Callithrix jacchus: one gene and its partner. The protein of the gene in region 1 purifies or fractionates together with the protein of each later gene. This does not show direct contact. Links are inferred from orthologs where the notes say so. Each region holds a gene or a part of one and is shown on either strand. Other genes may lie near its edges.

Region 1 (3,490 bases):
TGCATGTGGCTCTGGGACTTGAGGTGGTGTAGCCTGTCTCACTTTGCGGCCAGCTTTGTTTCCTGGGCCGAGGACAGTGAGGTCATTGCTGCCCCATTCTAGAGGCTCTGGCTCCTTTCAGGGATACCTGTTTCTCTCCCAGAGAGACCCTGGCTGCTCATAGCCAAGTGGACCCCGCGGCAGTGCCAGTTCCCAAGCCACCTAGGTCACCCCCTCCCTAGTCCTGGCTGCCCCCTCACCCTCTGGCCCCTGCATTTCCATGTCTCATTGGGCCAGTGACAGCAGGGGTGTGGAGCCCCTGTGGAAATCTGGGGAGGCGCTTCTCCCTCCGTGCGAGCAGCTTCACCCAGCCTGCAAGTGTGCCACCACCCAGTGTCAGCGCTCACGCTCCACGGGCCTGGGCCTTCCTTTGTGTCCTCGCCGGCATTCTGGGGTTTGTTTGGTTTATGTAGGAGCTGTAAACCCTTTGATGTGGCTGACCTTGCACCAGCCTGTTAGATCTGACTGCCCTGCTTTGGGGGTGGACTTGTCCTGTTGTGACAGAGCCAGCCCTGAGGGGCACTCGGGCTCAGCAGTGTTGGGCGGAGGTGAGTGGGCGGCTCAGGGTCCTGAGTGCTAGAGGGATGTGGTCGACAAAGGACTGAGGACCTCGAGGGATGGTCTGACTGGGATCCCTGCGTGCCAGCCTCTCAGCCAGTCTTGCTGCCACGTTCCTCCCTGTGGGTGCCGAGCTACTGCTGGTGGGGTCATGGGGGGCTCCTGCTCTACAGGCGGGATGGCTTTCCCTGCTGCCTTTCTCCCACTGCCCACCCTCCCCGCTATGTCACCCTGATAATGGCTCTTGTTCCCTCGCCCCCCGTGTTGAGGGTAGGCAGCGGGTGCTTGCCCTGAGACCTCCCGGGTGGTGTATAGGTGCTACCAGAGTTTTTGGGGAACAGTGGAGCTCAGTCTGAGTTGGTACCCACAACCCAAGGCATAGGGACAGCTCTGTTTCTGACTGTGTCTTTGTTTTCAGATGTTGTGATTTCAACAGCTTGTCACCCAACAGAAAATATCATTGCCTCTGCTGCGCTAGAAAATGACAAAACAATTAAACTGTGGAAGAGTGACTGCTAAGTCCCTTTGCTTCTGTGCGAGAGACTGTCAGGAAGTTGACCCGGATTGGCAAGAAACATGGTGTCTCGAGCTGGTCCCCCGGGTCTGCGCCTGGGGTCAGAACGGGGCCGGATGTGAGCCTCCTCTTGGAAGATGATTTGTCTGAGCGGAAGGTGTAGAGCACCGGAAGATTCTAAAAGTTGCTGGTGACATTTCTTGCCAATTCTTCTAACACTGTCTAGGGAAAAGTTCCTAGCCTGTTGTGTGCAAAACAGTCAACACAAGTTTTTAATTTTTTATTACAAAAGGGTAAAGTTCAATTTATCATGCGTTGTGTTTTTCAGTAAACATTCTATATCTTGTTGATATTCATGACCCAGTGCACGCTGTGGCTGGTCACCGCCATTGTGGCCCCAACAGCTGCCGCCCCATTCCCTGCTGCGTAGCCGCCCCGGGCTACGGCCCTGACTCCTCTGTTCCTGCTATAGTCGTTCCTGGTGTCTGCGTCTTTCTGGAAAGCACAGTGTCGCGTGTGGTTTTCTGTGTAAAGAGCCTTTTGTGGCCCACGCATGGCAGCATGGTCATCGCACACGGCGCTGCTGTCTGTCTCACCAGTGTCCCTGCAACAATAGCACCACAGACTGTAATAAAAAGGTGGGGCTTTGTGGACAGTTGTGGGAAGTGCATCCTTGTGCAGTGCATCACTATGTGGCCGTCTTGGAGAAAGGCTCCCTTTCCTTCTCTGGGAAGTAAAGGAGGCGCCCTGGCTGGCCGCACCTGCTATCTGAAGACGCCTCCCCTTGTAGGCTGTGCTCAGTGTTGCTGGGGGAGGGGCAGGGTGGGGGTTCTTAGTTGCAAAGGAGCCAAGCTCCTGATGGGCTCCCGTTGGGATGTTGGGGACACCCGTGGCATGGGAAGGCTCCCTGCATCCCTCACTCCAGGTCAGGTGCCAGTGGGACTAATGTGCCTCATGAGGGCTGCAGAGCCAGTGCTGCCCCTCGGCTTCCCATCTCCTGGCAGCCCCAGGAGCGGCTCCTCAAGGGATTGGGTGCTAAGCGAGAGCCTTGTCATCTCAGCCCTCGCCTGCCCACCTGCCTGTGTTCCTGGCCGCGTGGCTACCTGGTGCTCACCTGCACAGCAGTTTACGGGCAGAAGCTGAGCGGGAGCCTTTGGGGAGTGAGGCTGAAACCTGAGCCTGTCTGTGGAGACCTTTGTGGTGGGGGCTGCCATGCAAAGCCAGCCCATGGGGCAGGGCTTTGGGGCAGGGTGGGCTGTGGTGCTCCAGAAAGCCAGCCTGGGTACTGGGTCTGCAAATGGCCCTGGCCCCAGAGCCCAGCCAGCTCTGCCTCTGTCAGGGCCTGGAGTTCTGGGTGAATCCTCCAGCTTTGTGATTGTACCGGCCCAGGGAGGAGGTGGGGGTTTGTCAGGTGGGCTCTCCTGGGGGTCCTCTAGTGGCAGAGGTGAAGGAGGGATTACCTGGGCATCTGGAGATGCGTGTCCCACGGTTTCCCTTGCCCCTCTGTTTCTGATGAGGTGTACAGTTGAGGGACCTGGGCTAAAGTGAGTTGCCACAATGAAATGGGTTGATTTCTGTCTTTGACACTCAGGGTCTGGGCACCCTGCATTTGCCGCCTGTTGTGACAGACTCGGGGAGCTCCACCTGCAGCTGCCCTCCTGTGGGGCACCCCGGGGGCTGTGAGGCTCCTGCAGTCTCGTTCTGCCGGTGGGGGGAAGCCCACTCCGGGGAGGGCTGTGCTGTGCTGAGTGCTGTATCCCTGAATATAGTTTATTTTTTCTACATTTGAATTCTGTTGTAGATTTATGTAAAAATACATTCTTTTTGAAAATAAAAATTTTCATGTCTTCTAATTTTGTCCTGTGAGAATTTCTTAAAATGTAGCTGTCTGTGGGGTGGGAGGGCAGCTGCCCTGGTGGTGGGGTGGCATCTGGTGTGCCAGCGTGCCCCGCAGGACAGTCCTGGGTTTTCACAGTAGCCTTAGCAACGTCATCTATTTGTGCTAATAACGTACATGTTTTGTATTGATTTTCGGCTTTTCGGTATATACCTGTGTGCTAATTATTGACGGTGGTAGGCAGGTAGGCAGAGACGAAGGGAGCTCCTCCAAAGTCCTGCGGCCACCACCGTGCTGGGGAGGCTCTTCTGGGGCATGCGCTACAAACAGGAGCTTGCAGATGCGCAGAGTGTGGCACCCCCGGGTTCCTGTTGCTGCTGCAGGGACTCGCCGCTCTTCCGTGGCTGCTCGTGTCATTGCAGTACAAATCCCAGACGTTTGACCACGTAAGTGAACATGTGGCATGGGGACAAACAATCCTCCAGAAGCATTATTACCATAATGCCATTTTCATACCAAAAAGTCCCCCCACCCTCTTTATT
Region 2 (3,743 bases), on another chromosome or scaffold:
TCCCACCCCCAATTCTTACATTTCTGATTCTTTTCCCAACATGAACTGCCCCCAAACGCCTTACTGTCTTCCAGAAGCCCCATCTTCCATATATGTCTTCATCTTTGCAATTTTGCTCCCTCTTTATGACTCCAAACTTCCATCTCATTCTCTCTGGTAACAGGCCCCAAACCCATCTGGCTCCATCTCTGCCAGAAACCCCTTCACCCCAAGCTTCTCTCACTTCTCGCCAGGCACCCACAAAGCCCCCAGGCAGCTCCATCTTTCCAATCCAATCCCATTATCCCAATCTCTACCCCAGGATCCCCCAAACTCCTCCCACTTCACCTCTGCCACAGACCCGGTCGCCCCCAAACTTCAGCCTCCCCTCATCTGCCCTCACCACCCACAGCCCCTCCTACCTAGCCCTCTCCCGCGCCCGGCCCGCGGGCTCCCCACATTCCGCCGCGGCGAGCCCTCCCCGCGCCCCGGCCCCCTCGGCCTCGGCCTCGGCCAACTCGCGCGGCGCCTCCCCTCTCCGGCTCCCCCTCCCCCCACTCGCGGCTTGCCTCGCGCTCCCTCCCTCGCGTCTCCCTCCTGGCCCCTCTCTCCTCCGTTCCTCCGCGCTCCCTCCTTCTCCCTCTTCCTCGCTTCTCCCATCCCCCTCTCCCAGGCTCCCTCCCTTCGCCGTCCGCTTTCCTGTGCTAGTCGCCGGACGCGTCGCCCAGCCCGTCTGCAGCCCCGGGCCGGGCCGGGGCCTCCGGCCGGGCCATTTCGGAGAGACCGCGGCCTCGGGGAGGGGCCAGAGGGGGGCGAGGGGGCCGGCCGCCCGGGAAGGGGCGGGGGCCGCGGGCGAGGCGGCCGAGGGGCCCGGGATCGCGCGGGTGCGGGCTGCGCGCGGCGGGCGGGGGCGGGCGGGGGCGGGCGGCGCGGCCCGGGGCATTCCGGGCGGCCGGGGGGAGGAGGCAGCCCGGGGAGGTGGGGAGCAGAGCGGGGATCCGGGTTTGCTCCGGGGGCCGGGCGAGGGAAAGGGGGGATGGGGGCCGCCCTCCGGGGGTGTCGAGGCCGCAGCCGTCGTCTTCGCGGCTGCGACTGAAGCCCAGGAGAGGAGAGGGGGGCGGGGGAGTCGCCGCCGCCGCCCCCCGGAGGCGCCGGAGCCCGGAATCCCGCTCGCAGCCCGCCAGCCGTCCCGAGCTAGCAGCAGGTAAGGTCTGCGGCCGCCTGGGCCCCGGGCCCGCGGGTTCTGTCCCGCTCGGGCTCGGGCCTGCGGCTCCCCACCCCCACCCCTCCCAGTTCCCCCTCCCGCCGCCGCCGCCTCCGTTTGTTATTTTCCCAATCCCGTCCCCCCACTGCGGGCTCTGCCTGGCCCAACGCTGGGGGCTCAGGGGGTGGGGCCCGCCGAGGAGGGACCGGGGCCAGGGCTTCGGAAGGATCGGTAAGGTGGGAAGGCGGGAGGGTCTCTGGAGGAGGGCTGTGGGGGCACAGGGTAGCCGGGACCTGCGGACCCAAAAGAGGAGGAACATCTAGGAGGGGGTTGGCGGAGGAAAACGGGGGATGCTGTGAGTGGGGTTTGGGGCGAAGGCAGAATGGATAGGAGAGATGGCAGCGAGGTGGGGCATTGAAGGCTCCAGGAAAAAGCTCCAAAGGCCCAGAACACGGGTTCTGGAGCCCGGGGTTGGGGGTGTTAGAATAGACGGTAAGTGGGAAACGGGAAAGGGGTGTGGTAGGTGGAAAGAGAGGGATTGTGGCTGATAAACCTGGGGAAACGGAGGCTTGGGCAAAGAGAGGTCCATCTTTGGGAAGAGCCGGAGGTTTTCCAGCGTGGAAGTGGAAAGGCCATGTCTTTGTGACTCAGTTTTCATTCCCCTACTCCATGTCACCTCTGACCCTGTTTTCCCGATCAGACATAGTTACTTCTTGGAGAGGGGCACGGGGGCCCAGTAGTGTGGGTTATCCCAAAACTAACGAGAGGGAAAACAGGAACACAGAAGGGGGAGTTGGTAAGAAAGGGTTTCTGGGAGGATGGAAACGAGAGAATTGAGCAACCTTATAGGCACTCCAAGCAAGTTGCAACCTCCACCTTCAAATTGCCTAGCATCTGTGGCCCCTGGAACTGTCATCTGTATAGGGAGGCCTTGGTTACTGCTTTGAGCTCAAAGATCTCCTTTTGTGCTTGAGCTTATTTCGACTAGGGCAGGTACCCTTAGGCTCCCCCGGAGGTGCTATAGGAGGATAGGAGTTGCATTGGCAACTGGGAGGGGTGGCTGCCAGATGGACCCCTGGAATGGTCTCTTGAGGGGCACCTTTTGCCACTGTGTTGCTATGGCAGTGATCCAGTGGGATGTCCAGTTTGTGGGGTGGGGGTGGGGCTTCAGAATGTTGATTGGACCTCAGCTTGTGGCTATGTCCTTGGGACTCTGGGCTGGGTTCTGTAAGATGTTTCTGGATCTGTTGGTGAATGGGAGTTTCTCCACGGTGTGCACCCTTTCATGTTGCAGTCTGTTGGAACAGGTAGATATGTTCCTTGCAGATCACAGGTGTTTCTCGGAGTTTGTCCACCTAGGCATGGTGGGAGGATGAAATGCTCCTGTTCAAATTACACCATCTTTTGGCAGTTGGTTGTGACCTCTCCCTCCCTTACATTATTTTTTGTAGAGTTGTATTTTTGCGTCTTTGCACTTTTCTTTCATTTTCTAAAACTTGAATTCCACTTTGAGCCTCCCTTCTTGAGTAAACCCTTTTCTTCCTTCCCTCAACTAACCTTTGGCCTTGTAGAAATGGCTGAGCTCTCAGGCCCATCCCAGGTGAGGGTGGCCCAGGGCAGAGCACTGTGAAACAGCCCATGCAGGGGAAATACTATAGAACAGGAGCCAGGAGACCTGGGTCTAGACTTGACTGTCTCTCTGTGACCTTGGGCAAGTCACTTCTCTTTGAATGTTGGGGCTTCATTTTTAAGAGGAAGGGGTTATAGATGAGAAGATCTCTGAGGCCCCTCTGAAGGTCCTGGATCCTCAGAAGGCTTAGGCCAGTGCATTGTTATCTGGTGGTCTGGGCTTCATTGTTATCTAGGAGTTAACTTCGGACTGTTTTGTGAGTCTGGCAGGTCCGGAATGATGATGGGGGCTGGGCCAATAATCCTGAAATATAGCCTGCGAGCCCTTCCCAGAGAGCTTGTGACTCCACTGTATTCCTTCTGACATCCTTCCCATATTTCTCTCTTAATTTCTTTTCCTGTTCTTACTTAGGGGCTCTTTTTCTACTTCTCATTTCCCCCCCAACCCAGTCTGGTCTTAATCATTTTCTTTTTGAAGGTAATGAAGGTGAAGGTGCCTAGTGTGTGGTCAGGTACAGAGTAGGTGCTCTGTAATATTAGTTACAAGGATTGCTTGCTAGGAGTGTAGACTGGTGCTAAAACATGACCCAGGTCTAGAAACACACACCGTCCAACCCTAACTCCTTCCCTCCTCTGCCACTCCTTGTCCCCAGGATTACTTGCTCTTTTATGACTGCTTTTCTCCTTCAAAGCTACTCATTGCTAGTTTTATCAGATTTCAGATGATTAAAAAAGAAGGGCATACTATGATTGCTGTGTTCCACAGGTACATTCTGTGTTTCTCTGACCTTTTGGATCCCCTAGCCTAACTGACTTGGTGAACAGGTTCTGTGATGGGGAAGGGAGAGCCTCAGCCTTCTCTGGGAAGGCTGGCAAAGATACACCAAGTCATCTTTTTTATGCTTTTTAAGATTGTTTTCCTCTTTTGCTA

The links.
Region 2: the proteins of WDR5 (region 1) and ATN1 purify together in Homo sapiens (affinity purification with mass spectrometry; 4 studies listed by BioGRID and IntAct, counting the BioPlex papers as one, with this or other methods). This does not show direct contact. The link is inferred for Callithrix jacchus from reciprocal best matches to the Homo sapiens genes WDR5 and ATN1.

What each region holds. Positions count from the first base shown.
Region 1 is NC_133502.1:182,724,181-182,727,670, forward strand, and holds the end of WDR5 (WD repeat-containing protein 5), read left to right. Parts: intron 1-1,015; coding exon 1,016-1,116; 3' UTR 1,117-2,964; downstream 2,965-3,490.
Region 2 is NC_133510.1:21,193,207-21,196,949, forward strand, and holds the start of ATN1 (atrophin-1), read left to right. Parts: upstream 1-1,302; 5' UTR 1,303-1,414; intron 1,415-3,743. UniProt on the Homo sapiens protein: Transcriptional corepressor. Recruits NR2E1 to repress transcription. Promotes vascular smooth cell (VSMC) migration and orientation. Corepressor of MTG8 transcriptional repression.